2 linked regions of the Oreochromis niloticus genome follow. The protein of the gene in region 1 purifies or fractionates together with the protein of each later gene. This does not show direct contact. Links are inferred from orthologs where the notes say so. Each region holds a gene or a part of one and is shown on either strand. Other genes may lie near its edges.

Region 1 (7,536 bases):
AAAACTAAAATAACCTCCACAGAGATGCCATGAAATTCTTAAACCAATATAATCACATGTAGTAAACATTCAAACATGAGGAATGCCATGCTGAGGACTTTTCCCAATCTAAAGGCGCTTTCTCTGTCAACGCAGAGCAGAACACACCCATAGTGAAACGCATGTTTAGACAGGGGCCTGATCGTATTTCAGCTCACTGCAGCTCTGAGCCTGTGAGCTCCGGGAGAATACCAGGCGCAGCATACCACCGGTGGCCTGTCTGGGGTGGGGGGTGGGCTGGCTCGCTGGCCAGCAAGGCTTTGTATGGAAGGAGGCCATGTGAGCCCGGCTGAACCATCACGTCTACATCAGATGGTTCGTCTGTTTGTGTGCGACAGATGGATAAAAAAGAAAATTCTCCAGCAAAACGCACCTCGCTGCAGCCAGACAAACAGTGGGAAACATCTGGCAGTTAGTCGGCTATACCCAGCAAATTAATAACAGATACGCAAAACAGCATTGGCTTGAAAGAAATACATCAACGCACTGATATAATCATTCGATTTTCTATGGGGATTCTCCAGATGTTTGAGGTTCACAACAATCTGACAAAGAAAAGGAGCAAACACTCATAAATGTGCAGCTGGAACAAGTGAACCTTTGCCATTTTTCAAGAAGAACATGGTAACAAATCACCCGAACAGTCAATTACTCTCTCTACTGTTTTTTACTTTGGACCTCTGGTTTTAATTGCAATAAGACTTGTAGACTCAAGACATATTTGCCCAGTTTTTCCACAAAAAAGGGAAAAACCCCAAAAAGAAAAACTTACGAAACTAGACTGTCTCATAAAAAGCTGCAAAATAAATATAGCACAAATGCAAGTGAAAAAAGGAACCAAATAATAATATGTTATTGCTGACAGTCCTCCCATATCATGTGCATGTCCAAAAACTAAACACAAAGTTGACAGCTAAACTCTTATGCATCACACAATGTACTCTAACTGACCACTTTATTAGGTACGCCCTTGTACTGTCCTGGAGCCACTTTCGCTTTCAGAACTGCTTTAAATCTTCACAGCACAGATTCAACAAGGTGATCAAAACATTCCTTTGGCCCATATTAACAGATAGTATCACAGAGTTGCTGAACATTTGTCGCATGCACATACATGATGTGAATCTCCTGTTCCACCGCATTTCAAAGAATAATAGAATAGAATAGAAAGATCCTTTATTGACCCTGATTGGGGGAAATTCTAGTGTTCCAGCAGCAAAGTGACAGGCAGATGGAGAATGCAAATAAAAAATGAGAAATAAGAGACTGTACAGTAAGCAAGGGCAATTTACAACATAAGCTGGTGTAGCTCATCTGGTTCAAGGTTAGACATGTTATGCATTCAGAGATGCTCTCCTGCATACTTCTGTATAACGAGGTACGCAGAACGAGTGGTTATTTGAGTTACTGTTGCCTTTCTATTAGCCTAAAGCATTTTGGCCATTCTCTTCTGACCTCTGGGATCAACGAGGCTTTTTCCCCTGCTCCTCACTGGACATTTTGTCTTTTTCAGATATTATCTGTAAAGCCTACCAATGATGGTGTGGTGGAAAATCCCAGTAGATAAAGAGTTTCCGAAATATTCAGACTATCCATCTGACGCCAACAACCACATTCAAAGTCACTTAAATCACCTTTCTTTCTTCCTCATTCTGATGCTCAGTTTGAACTTCAGCAGGGGATCATGACCATGTCCACATGCCTATCCGTTGAGTTACTCCCATGTGACTCTGCTTGCATACACAGTTAGCAAGCAGCTAAACAGGTGTACCTATTGAAGTAAGTGGTGAATGTATTTCTGATGTATGTTGCATTGTCTCCACCAAAAGTGGTAGAGCAAACTAACAAGAAGGTACAAGCAACGACCTGAGCACAACAGTCAAACTGGTTCAGCAACACTGCCTCGACAAGCAGGAAAATATAGATAACAAACTGATCCAACCAATAAAATAAGATAAAGTAAAAAACAGTAAGCGCCACCATATGCAATGTTTGGCGCATGAATGGATGCACAACCTGGCTCTCACTCAAAAGCTCCTGTCAATGTGTTTGCCACATGTTATCATGGCTTACAAAGCAAACACCACTCTGGCTTAAATTAGAGCGACAGCCTGATTCGTCATGATGTGGTGGCTTATGTTATCTCCAGCTCTAATGACAGACTGTGGGAACATCACTGTACCTTATACACGTCTCCATATGTGCCACTTCCCACCCTCTGAATGAGCTCAAAGTCATGCTGAGGGTTCCTCCTCTGGATTTCATTGCTTGGCCGGGTAAAGATATCCATGGTACCTTGACCCAGAGATGCCTTTACATTTATTTGGACTGGCCAACGGTGGTGTCGATGATCTGATGCAACAATGGTTTTGAGTCAGTGTTACTCAGACTGCCCGTCCCTGTTGTCCATGTCCTGAAAGGTGGAAAGTTGTGGGGGGGGGAAAGTGCACAAAAGAAAAACAGCGAGTATTAATCTCTAGTAATAACCCTGGACGAGCTTAGCTTTGACATCTGTCACGCAATCACTAATTAATTCACCGCCAACTACTCCTCAAAAGTAATAAAGAGAAAGGCAATTAAAATCAGTGACCATTATAACGGTATTAACATGCAGGTTGTGGTCATTCCAGCAATTAGCCAGAGCCAGTGAGAGGCTTAGCATCCGGGCGGGTCAGCTAACGCTAGCTAACTGGCTAAAGTTAGCTTCTCGGCTGGCTCTAACTTCAACAGTGTATACCTTCAACAACACAAACACGGCGGGAGCATGTCTTGAACTCCGAATCGTTTTCAGGCTTTTAACTGTGCGATGGCGTCGAATAGTTATCCAAAAAAAACAAAGGCGGTCCCCCTCTTTTGTTATCGAGGGAACAGTAGTAAACTTCACTCGCTTGCTGGTCCTGCTGCTGCTGCTGTTCACTCCTTCAGAGAAAAAGCGACAGGGTCGACTTCAAATCCCCGCAAGCCAGCGTTAAGTTTTGCCGTTGCCATGTCATTTCCCTCGGCTGACAGTTTTAGATTAGCCTCGGGCTCATGGGTAGAATACTAACGTTAAACTACATAAACAATAAACTGTTGGATTTACTGAAATAACACGCTCCCTTAAAAGCAACAGTGTGTTACTAATCTTTGTGGAGTCGCAGTTATTGGACGCTGTTGCATTCGAGTGCATCACGGAAAATAATCTAACCACAATCACGTATATAGACTAATTATTACATCATTAATAACATAACAAAAATATTCGATTTGAAATAAAGAAATAAAAATGTAAAGGGCATTAAAAGCACATGAAATGTATCCAGACGTCTCATTTTTAAAATAGTACCTTTTCTTTATTATCTATTCAAACCAAATTTTGATTTATGGGCTCGTTTTTGATGTCGTTATGGTTTAGTATCTCAGCATATCTTTTCAAAAAAGTTGGATGAATAAAATTTCTGTTGAGATGTAATTATGACCCCTTAAAGTTATCATTTGCAGGTATTACTGTATTTGAAAATGCTTTACAAGCATAATTTCATGCCACAAAATACAATAAGGAATAATAAATATATTCTAAATAAGAGAAAATCTTTATTTTTCAAAAGGTTGGTGGAAAAAGGTCTGAATTTTTTTGATGTACGGTAATAGTAATATTTTAAGTTATTCTAATTTAAAATAAAGTTTAAGTGAAAGAATTATCTGATACCAATAGGTCTAAAACCAGATATCTGTAATTTCCTTTATTACCCAACATGAAAGTGGTTTATTTTAAAACAATAATATTTATCCATGTGTTAGAATATAATATGGGTAATTGTTTTAATGAAAAAAATAAACATATTAAATTGAGTTGATGTTTTCTATTCATAAGAATAGAATAGAATAGAATAGCTTTTTATTGTCACTGTTATAAGAACAGTGAAAGGCAGTTTGGCATCTCTCCATGTAAATCTCTCCATCTCTCCATAAAGTTACAGTTCAGTTCAACGTATAATAACGGTTCAATAAAGAGGGGAATTTGTATTTATTTATTTATTGAATGTAGTATTTAACAACATACTGACTACTACTCTACCCATTTGGAATTTACATTTTTACAAAGGCGCACCTGAAGGGGGCATACCTTCCAACCTCTGTGTAATTACCGCCACCTGCCGGTAGAAGCTAAAATTTCACGTGAAGGCAGCGACAAAGAAATGCGTTTCTGGTCGCACTTTCAAGCACATAACCGCTAATCATTCTTTTCTGTAGACATTGCAATATGAGCCGAACTGCATTCAGCTGTCGTCCCATGCCTCAAGCCGCTGCTTTAGAACTGCGCCCCCTAGCGAGATACAGCATGGCTGCATCACATTGAGGATAAAAGCTCCATCATCCTCCTGCGATACGAGCATCGTTTTGGTGGAGCCAGGGCATTCTCCCAGCCCACGATATACACTCATGATTACCGACTAGGGTCGCTCAGTAACCCACAATCAAAGGGATATAACGACAGTATTATGGCGAAACACCGTCCAGAAAGAGACAGCTGGGGTGAGTGTACGTACAGTATTTCATATTTCATTGCTTTTCTTGACGGCACAAACCGTTTTTTATCTTCCCTGCCGCGGAGGAGAGGGTGTAAGTCAGTAAGATGTTTATCTTAGACTCCATGATGAAAGGCTTGGTTTCGTTTTGACCGTATCATGACCAGTGTTTATTTATTTTAATGCAGCAATGCATCACGCCATTTATGGTGAAAAATACGTGTTTTTGTGAGTCTCTGCAGGAATATTGTCTAATCAGGCATAAGCAAGCACAGACCTATATTTCTAAGACGTGTTATATTTTTATTCAGTGATCAGCGCGCAGGGAAATGTCTGTTAGTGCTCTCTGAACCTCCCTAAGAGGCCTGAAAACCACCTCCTGATGTATTTTGTTTATCACAGTGAGCTTCTCGTGATTGTACGTGGTGCATCTGGCATACAATTATGTAATATTGCATCAGAAGATAGCCTCTCATCATCCTCAGGACCACCATCTGCACCCTGACCGTTAATGTCATCATCACTGTTGGTGATTGTCACTGACATCACGCTATGCTCTGTGTTAACTTTAAATTCAGGTCTGCAAGGGAAAGGAAGGGGCTGAATGACTGCATTGGGAGTGAGGGGGAAAAGGGTGAAATGCTGCTGTTTGTCATCAGAGAGTTTATCTGGGCTGACCCACTTTAAGCAGACCGCTTCTGACGTCTTCGGCTGTTTTAAGGGCAGCAGCAGCAGCAGCAGAGGAACACGATCAGGTTAACCAGGCAGGCTCATGATGCCAGGCCTGGCTGAAGCGGCCATTGCAAGAGATGTGAAGCCACCCTGATAGTCCCCTTCAAGCCTGAGACGAAACCTTGGATGATTCCCTGCTGAATTATTCACTGTGCATTCTTGGCACCCTTTATTAATCATTTAGCACATCCTTAAAATTTTGTCTGCTACTCCTTAATCTGTCACTGCTGCTTTTTAAAGAGTTGTATCCATGCTTTGATTTGCATTAAAAGCTCAAAATTAACACCACAGCTGCAGTGACTGGAATTAGTGGTGTGTGTTTGGACTTTCTTTCGTCTTCAGTAAACAAACATTACAATGTGGGGAATTTGGGAGCTCGGAAAGCCTCCAATCATTGCAGGAAGCCCATTCAGCCCTTACACTCTACATGAGACAGCAGAGACTGGAAAGACACTGAGTCATTGCATGGAAAAGTATGGAAAAAAACCTCAGAATGCACATGATCTCATCGGATAAAAAGAGCGTGGCCTGATTCATTATGAATATTATTAACAAGCTTGCAGGCCATGCTATTGATCTGGAGCTGAAGCAGGAAGGAGTAATGGACTCAACTTTCCTGTTTCCTCACTTAATGGACTGCTAAGTGCGCTTATCATCCCTGTGAAGAAGTTCTCGCTGTTCAGTCAACATTTTAGTTGGTGTTTCATTGACACAATAAATTCTTTAAATAAAACATTTTGCCTTCATCTCTGTGTTTGACTGTAATGTTAATGCCGTTTTCTTGCTTTAGGTTTTATGATTTCCCACGACTGTCTTCTCTTCCAGGGTCCCTCAGTGATAAAAATGTCTATGATTGGAGCTCGGAGGAGGAGGAGCCAGACGGAAGAGCTCGGCCTATCCAAGTGCTGCTGGTCAAAGATGACCACACCTTTGAGCTGGATGAGGCGGCGCTGAGCCGCATCCTGCTGTCTGAGGAGGTCAGAGATCGTGAGGTGGTGGCCATCTCCGTGGCCGGAGCTTTCCGGAAGGGCAAGTCTTTCCTCATGGACTTTATGCTGCGTTACATGTACAACCATGTAAGTCTCTGCAAAAGCATTACTCCAGTCTGCGTGGTATAGATCATACAGTCTGTGTGCGTGAATCGGCTCAGCCGTGCTAGTGGAAAAGTTCCAGATTTAGCTTGTGATTTGGTGTAGCACATAAAAAATTGAAATATAGCAAAGGTACTGGCAAAAAAGAAGAATATTTATGATATTATATTACTACATGCATGCACCAACCTGCTTATGTACAGTAATCTTGGATTAAAATGGCTATGCATTTCTTTATCTTCCTTTATCATATTTATGCCATCTTTTTTTTCAAGCAGCAGATCAAATAAAAAAAATGCAATATTTCAAAGTCATAGAGGGTAAATTGACCTGTTAGACTAAACTGTGATCCGTCGGTGCTCAGGCGTCTGAAAACTGGCTCGGCAATCCAGAAGAACCTCTGACCGGCTTCTCCTGGAGGGGCGGCTCAGAGAGGGAGACCACCGGGATCCAGATTTGGAGCGAGGTCTTTCTGGTGGACAAACCAGACGGAAGAAAGGTGAGACTATATTTCATCCCACGACTGGACGAGTAGGCTAAAGTGCAATTGAGTGCTTAATTAAATATAACACATATACTTGTTTAACCTATTTACAGGGAGTGCAGAATTATTAGGCAAGTTGTATTTTTGAGGAATAATTTTATTATTGAACAACAACTATGTTCTCAATGAACCCAAAAAACTCATTAATATCAAAGCTGAATGTTTTTGGAAGTAGTTTTTAGTTTGTTTTTAGTTTTAGCTATTTTAGGGGGATATCTGTGTGTGCAGGTGAGTATTACTGTGCATAATTATTAGGCAACTTAACAAAAAACAAATATATACCCATTTCAATTATTTATTTTTACCAGTGAAACCAATATAACATCTCCACATTCACATTTCTGACATTCAAAAACAAAACAAAAACAAATCAGCGACCAATATAGCCACCTTTCTTTGCAAGGACACTCAAAAGCCTGCCATCCATGGATCCTGTCAGTGTTTTGATCTGTTCACCATCAACATTGCGTGCAGCAGCAACCACAGCCTCCCAGACACTGTTCAGAGAGGTGTACTGTTTTCCCTCCTTGTAAATCTCACATTTGATGATGGACCACAGGTTCTCAATGGGGTTCAGATCAGGTGAACAAGGAGGCCATGTCATTAGTTTTTCTTCTTTTAT
Region 2 (7,992 bases), on another chromosome or scaffold:
AACCAAAGCATCTTTGTGCAGCCAGTGTCCAGAGCTAGTTGTGAACAGACATAGTCTCCTGGTGTAATAATAACTTTTTATATTCAAACAAACAGGAAGGGCCTGATAAGAGCAAGCAGCAAGATGCTAAAACCACAGTTTGGTTATTAGTCTTTTAGTGTGAGCACACATCAAGAGGCTAGAATGTCAAAAGGACTCAGAAAAGGCGAAGCTTATCTGTAGACACTTTCTCACATTGAACCCAGCAAAACTACTGTGGTAACTGAAGGCGGGACTGGTGTTTCCCCAGGTCATTCTACTACTTAATTTTGCAGTTTTAGTATAAAAAGAAGTGATAGTTTTACACAGAAGCCTCTCCAAGCTTTGGTCACACAACCTAATTTTTATAAGAGTTACCTCTTGAGATTGTTGTCTATGTTTAAGTAACCTGACAGCTCCTAGAGAGCTGTCAGGTTGTGAAAATGTAAAAACACAAGTTTTTTCAGTGTTTTAACTTGACTGAGGTGATAAACTAATTTGTGTAGAAAAGTCTAAGCTGCACACAGACATCTTTGATTTATTTGGGCGCAGATGGAAAAATAATTAAGAAATGACTGAAGATGGAATACTGCTGCTTTAGGCAAAGAAGCTTATAGCGTGTTGTACTCCAGGCCCTTACCTGGCATATTAATTTACTGCATGATGTTGCATTACAGATCAAAGGTCCAGCTAAACAGATTTATGAAAAGTTAACGATTTAATTACAATATCCATCCTTTATAAAAATGAGCAGTGCATTAAAACATGATGAAATTACACTGATCCCCTAGAAAAAAAACAAAAACAAAGAAATAAAACAGGTAAGATCAAATAAATACAATACCTCTAGAGCAAGAGCAGTCTTGTCGTAGGCACAGGGCACTCGTTTCTGGATGGCTTTCGCCATGACAGGGCCGTTCTGCATGGACGGTAGCGGAGCGATAACTGCTCCAGGTGCGTTGGGCATTGGAGAAGGCGTCTGGGGTTGGGCATAGGCATGAGCAAGAGCATTGGAGGGCTCAGGGATCCCATAGCTGTTGGAGTTTCGCGATCCATGAGAAGGTTGGCCAGGGTGGAGTGAAGGTCGTACCACTTTCTCTACGTAGGGCACAGGGATCATCCCAGCACGTCCATCTTTATTCTTGGCGCTCCACCACTGCTCCTCCGGTTTTTCCAGGATGATAAGGATCTCCCCCTTCTTGAAGGGAAGGTCCTCAGCATCGCTGCCGGTGAAGTCGTATAGAGTCCGCACATACTCCAGATTCTCCTCTGCTCCAACCATGGGCTGGACAGGAGGACTCGGTGTACTTGAATACCTTAGAAAATTAAAAATAATGACGAAATTAAGTAAATGTTAATTGGTTATCCTTAAAAGTCATCACTGTGAAGCCTAGAATACAACAAAACTGCATTATTTGTTGAATAAAATCCTTTATAAACATGATTACCTAACTCCTCAATTACCAAAATGTGGTATCAGGTTTGGCTATAAAACCACACAAATCCTGAGTGAGGTTTATTTTTCCAGTGGTACCAACACTTCAAAGAAAAAACAAAACCCCCAAACAAACAAACAAACAAGCAAACTAGATGTGTGGTAATAGTGCTGATTTTATGACATAACCAAGTGAAACTGGGTTAGTTCTGATAAAAATAGTATGGTAAAGTGCTAGAGGAGGCGTGGTGGGTGACCTCCCTACCTGGGGGCTGGCTCTATCAGCGTGGTCGTGTCCAAGTAATGGATTTTGTAGAACTCCAGGAGAGCTGGGAGGTGGTCGAACTCTTGATCCCCTATTTTGAACCTCTTGCTGGGCAAAGAGTTGATGATATAGTGAGACACTTTGGAGTTTTCCGACACCGACAGTACGTAGTCGCCGGGGCAGGTCGACGAGTCTCGAACAAGAAACATGCCATGTCTCTGTCCTTGTAACCTATTCTGTGCCTCCTGTCGTGACACGGGTCCAAAATACCAGGCGGACCGATCAGAGGAATCAAATCGAGCAGTTGACATTTCTGTTCAAAAATAAGTTAATGTGGGCTTACAAATTAATATTAATAATAATAGAAAGGAAAATACTACAGGATTGGCTAGGCAATAAGTTAAAAGCTGTATGCGTGGTTCCAATTGGCCAATCACAGCAAACTGTAGGATTTGGAAGACTCAGGGCAGGGCACTCGTCGCTCTGGAAGGAGTTTCCGAGTGATTTCTTCACAAAACGCCTCAGGCACCGAAAAAATCTGTTTAAGAAAAACAAAAACAACCTGGCGTTTTTGTTTTCTTTTTTTCCCCTCCTTTCAGATGCAGGCTGCCAGTGACTTGATCCAACTCTGGAGCATACTGTTGTCCCAGTCTGCGGCCGAGCAGTTGTTAAAAGGGGGCCAAAAAACAGAAGAAAAACGAGCAAACTTACGACAGGCTACCATTGACGGAGGGCCAGAGAAGCAAACGATCAATGAAGCTTCCCCTTTTCGTTCCGCCTTCCGAGAAAACACCAAATCTTCTCTTCTAATAAATGTATCTCCTCCAGTCAGTATCAGTTGTGAGAGCGGAAAATGTGGCCTCACTTTTCCCCCCTTCTTCTTCTTTTTTCTTACATCCGATAATCCCTCATCTGTGCACAAAGGTCCCCGGCAGGTCACGAAACTATCAGCCGAAATCCTGCGGAGCTCACGGCGAGACACACTTCATGGAAACGCGTTTTCGAATCCCCTTTCTCGAGTCGGAGCAGACTTTTGAGGCAACACAGCAGAAAAATGGCGGCTCGCAACACGTCTTCACACAAAAAAATGATTTCAGGGCAGCGGCTCGTCTCCTGCGCGTGCATCTCAGGAGCCACGACCGTTTACAGGAGCTGTCGCGTGCATCCCCGACCGCTCACGAGGGATCTCGGCTTAACGATTGCTATATTTTATACTTTCCCTTATTTCCGCTCGTCCCCACTAGCACAGGCTACCAGAAGTACTGAGGTCGAAAAATGGCGACGGGAGGGCAGGTCCCGCTTTCTATCAGCGCGTCACTGACGGCAGGAGCGAGAGAGAGGGGAGGGGGGGAGAAGTGAAGGAAGGAGGTGGGCGTTTGGCGAAGCCACGGACAGCCCCTAGCTCTGCGAGAGTAGGTGTCAGTCATTTCTCAGTGAACCATTCTGCTGATAGAAGTAGCTGTTCCATCGTCTCGGGAATATAGTGAATATAGCAATATGGAGCATGTCGAGATACAAGTGTATTTTTTACTCCGTGTTCCTGCTTTGACGTAGTAATTTAATTGGATGTTTGCTTTTCAAAACTTAAAAGGGATTCACCGTGTGACTCAAAAATATAATACCACAGTTTAAATCAGGTTAAAGAGTGGCTAAACCTCAAATAAATGCTAAACCAATAGAGAGGCTAAGCAGTCAGGTCTTAAGTAGGCAACATTGATGTTAAAAGCTGCTGTAACATACTATATGTGTATGAGAGCGAGGTGTTATTTCTGTTTATATCCCTGCACTGTCATTAGTTGATTCTTAATTGGAAATATGTGTAGGCAGTGTTTCACAGTCATAGCTGGTTCTGTTAAAGCTAGGCTAATTTAACTACTACTTTTACCCTACAACAGTGGAGCATATTTTGCGATCCATTGCAGCTTTGAAGTAGATACTGTGGAGTAGACAGTGCTAATATATGTACTTTTGACAGGTAGTTATGTAGGTGTGTGAAGAGGAGCATCAAAATTGAGCTTTTTTTTCTATAAATGGAAAACATTATTCTATAAAATGATTGACAGATAGAATAAGCTACAGTTCTGAATAAAAAAAGGTCAGATGTCTGCCGAACAACGTGTTCTTATGTTAGTACTGTGTTTAGTGATTGTCTCGGATGTTTTTGTGTTCTGTGCCTTTAAATCAGTGGTCAGCTCGTGTGTTTTTAATATACTTTTTTAGCCACATAACCGCAGCCCATAGGTACAGTATATTTGCTCAGTCAACAACTAATTCATACCACCAGTAAAAAATTGTACTTATTTCCCTATTTTCATTTCCTTGTGTTATTTAACTTCCCCTTCATTCATTCTCATAATAAGTATTATCTGGCAAAGAACTGTGAAAAATCGATTTGGAGCTCACCCAGAATGACCCAACCCAAAACAGAATATGCTGCGAGAGAGAGAGAGACGGAGAGAAAGAGAGAGAGCGCATTTAAATGCAAGGGGCAGTGTCTCTGAAGAAGAAGAATGCAATCTAAGCGAAAGAATGCATCTGAGAACACAAGCAGAGTGCGGCAAGCCATTCAGCCAAGCAGAACAAGTTTTACTCAGTGATAAAAGCAGGATCTGTAAAGAAGTAGCTCTGTCCCTGTGGTGACTGAGCTTTCAGTGGCCGTGCCTCATGAGGCTACAGCTGGCACAGAACAGCTCTCATCACTGAAACACTGTCTGAATGTTAATAGATTTGCACCCACCGAGACTTAATGGCTAAAGCCTGCCAACTCCCACATTTCCACAAAGATGCAGTGATGCAACTAATTGGAAAGAGAAACAAAAAACAGACTAGTTTACTTAGAATTATGGGTAAAAAGGCTGATATTATATGCACGAACCATACTGGCTTCTAACTAGGGCAACTTTTCATTTAAGAGATTGGCTTTGTGGGATTTTGCAGGGTGAGACATACAGTATCGTTGTCTGACCTGCTGTCTAACCTTGTATGTAGATGCACACTGAAGGTTTCTTCACAAACATCACCATCTAGTGGATGTATGCAAAAGGCAATGCCTGCCATCATCCCATTATCAATAGATTCTGTTGTCTGTCTGTATGGCAGGTTAAGATTAAGCGATACTACAGGTCCAAACGTAATGAAACGTGAATTTTTGACCACCTAAGCAGCAGTTCTACAGTCCTTCAAGTGCTCTCTTAAGTACCAGCTGCTACAAAAACCCACCATACCAAAATGGATAACTTCAGGCCAGCACACACGCAGAAAAGCCTAGAAAAGCTGGTTCTTCAACCCAAAAACCCACCTGTAACTGGTTTTGCAATAGCTTAGAAAACTTTTAGCCTCTGTTAAACTCACATCAACACAGTAACCTTGAATGGATGCTCCCTTTAGCTCAGTCTTGATGCCCTGGAGTCTGAAGATTAAATGCACAGATGACACAACCACCCTTGACCTAATCGGTGGTCGATGAGTTGTTGCACAAGGAACTAGTGAACAAAACCTGTGATCTTGTTCTTTGCACAGGCGCAACAAAAGAAAAGTAATTATGGCTGGAGAGGCCCCCTCTCCACCCAGCTCATTTTTCGGCTGCAGAAGACGCAACCTAAGACACTGCAGAGAGCATCGGCACAGTTTTATTTCAGCCAGTCAGATTGTGTGTAAAGGCCGTTAGTCTGCAAATAAATTCCCCTTCCCCCACTTAAGACTTAACACTTAAGACTTCATAAGAAACTTACACATTTTACAAACCATCTTCTGCTTGTAACCACTTCAACCCCTCACTACCCTTCTGTGCCTTTATCTCTTTCACACAGCGTCTTTCTCCAGCTCTTTTCTTTGTGCATTAAACTTATATTTATTATTTTCATGGTGATGTATCCTGTGAGACAGTGACAGGAATTCCAGTGTAGTGATGCAAACTGCAGTTAATTATAATCTAAATCACGTTTTGAAGAGGATGTTCACATGGTGCAGGATAAGACCTGTGTTGGAAAGGTCAGTTTCTCTGAGACTGTAAATTTTGCTTAAAAAAAGCTTTTTATTTTATTTTAACTTCGAATAAATCATAGATACTAAAGCTGTTGAGCAGAGTTGCAACCTTGCTCTCATGTGCCAGAACACAAACACACAGATTACCTTGACAAATCCTGCCCAGGGTCACACAGACAGGCATTCAGGAACAAGATCATGTTAAGTTTTTACCATATATGATAAAATACCTGTATTCTCTATCCATGCAGTTTCTGGCAGTGGGCGAACCCCCTCCCAGCCTTCACTTTTGAAATACTTAGCCTCTACTATATTTTATTTTAACATCCTACCACGTTCCTGATTGTTGTCACTGGCATTCAGTTCAAAGTTGAGCATGCTTTGATGTGAAGACTAACGACAGACAAGCAGCAGACTGGTAAATATGGCACGAGATGCTGCTGTTAAAGAGTCAGTGCATTTTTAGACCAGTGTAAGGGTTTATATAGATGAGCGACTCACTGTTACAGCCTCCATGGCATGAGTCACCTTTTACCTCTCAGCCTGGTTTCCCAGAATATGCAGTCAGGTTTCTGTAAAGGTAAACCTGTTTACATGCTACTAAATGGACACAAATAGGTAGATATCCATAGATATTCTACATTTCTAGAAATACTTCTAGATTTCTACAGGTACACCAGGTTCACAATAAAGGCTTCAGATAAAGCATTTTCACCCGCTTCATTACTTCCTCATGTTTCAGTTTGTTGTTGCTTTGGTTCAAATGTTTTTAAATGAGCCACTTCCCCATAGCATTTCTAAAACTTTAAGAAGCCACAATTATCTCTTGTTTCTTACAATATCACATTGCATTACCTGTGACAACTTCATGCTCATAGTCTTACCTTAACTTTCTAAACTTTTTTGTTCTCACTAATTATTTTTTCATTCAGTTAGTGAAGAGTTAATACGAGACCACAGCCTAATCTAGTGCAACTGACGACGTTGCTGTAGCCAGGCCTGTCAAGTGGTCAATTCTGCTTTTGGTTATTTTAACTTCCTCGTTTTCAGTGAAGCGTTCATATGACAAGCAGGTTCAATAAAAAGACACGCCACGGCTTGTTTATTTTATTCTGTTCAACTTTATGCAGTGTTTATACTGTAAATACATGTCCAATATAGATGTTATGGATGAATCAGCAACTAAAGGAGCTGGTGAGGGTTCTTCTAAAGAGAAGGAATAAAGGGAAATGTAGCCTGTGAAGCAGAAAATGACTCATAAACCATGTAAACAGGACCGCGGTTGGGCTTAATTAAACACAAGTAATGCTCCACATAAACAAATAAATCAAAGCTTTAAATACATTTCTTAATATATCTAATTATCGCACACTTTGGCACACTTTGGCAAATCTGTAGCGATCAAAACCTAAGTGACATTTCACTTCTCTTAAACTGACAAACCCAGTGTTTGCAGTGGTGTACGACCTGAGAAACCAGTGCTAACATAACAATAGTACATTTATATAAGGTAGGATCACCTGTTGCCTATTTTGTGTCATAATATCTGAAATACAACACTCAGCATGCAAATAACTCTCCACACGATTAGCCCACTAAAAGGAACAGTATCCCGAAGAGTCAGGCGCAAAGGGAAAAATATAAAGGAACAGCATTGTTTTGTGCAGAGGACATTTATGCCCTTTCATCCTTATGCTTGAACACAAAGTGTAAATGCTTAAATACTAATGCTGGACCAGTGAAAATCATTACACTGCTCCTTAGCACACTGAATGACAAAAAAAAAGTGGTTTTATGAAAAAAAGTGTGCTTTTATGCTTGCTTTTTTGTGAAGTGAAAACAAGCCACAAATGTCCTGAAACTCAGTGGTTGAAAAAACAAGCAGAATACATGAATTATTCCCAGTGAAAAGTTGAAATCAGTCCTTCTGCTGTGTGCAAAACTAAAAGATCCAGGCCTTATAGAGCATTATTTGTGTTTTCTGTCCATATTACACATCATTATGAGCAGTAATTGTCAATAAACGTGATGCGTCTGTATTGTTTTGTTTTTTTCCTGAACAGCAGACATTTTGACATGCCGTGACAGGAAGCACACAGGTGTGTTAATGATGGTTGCATTCCACTTAAGGGAGGTGCTGCCGTATAGCATGCTGCTTCACACTGGCAAGGCTTACTTGGGAGAGGTAGTCATCATTGATTAAGTGTTTTGCGATTCCCGCTGCGACCACTCTATCCTGCTCAACTTTATGACATCATAAAACATCATCATCAGAAATGCTTTATTTCAT

What was found.
Region 2: the proteins of map4k5 (region 1) and crkl purify together in Homo sapiens (affinity purification with western blotting; 3 studies listed by BioGRID and IntAct, with this or other methods). This does not show direct contact. The link is inferred for Oreochromis niloticus from reciprocal best matches to the Homo sapiens genes MAP4K5 and CRKL.

The regions. Positions count from the first base shown.
Region 1 is NC_031983.2:21,098,974-21,106,509, reverse strand, and holds the start of map4k5 (mitogen-activated protein kinase kinase kinase kinase 5), read right to left. Parts: upstream 3,198-7,536; 5' UTR 2,777-3,197; intron 2,453-2,776; 5' UTR 2,330-2,452; coding exon 2,222-2,329; intron 1-2,221. Other genes in the region: atl1 (atlastin-1), read left to right, coding at 4,521-4,560, 6,105-6,355, 6,735-6,869. UniProt on the Homo sapiens protein: May play a role in the response to environmental stress. Appears to act upstream of the JUN N-terminal pathway.
Region 2 is NC_031972.2:23,838,174-23,846,165, forward strand, and holds the start of crkl (crk-like protein), read right to left. Parts: upstream 3,040-7,992; 5' UTR 2,030-3,039; coding exon 1,719-2,029; intron 1,335-1,718; coding exon 863-1,334; intron 1-862. UniProt on the Homo sapiens protein: May mediate the transduction of intracellular signals.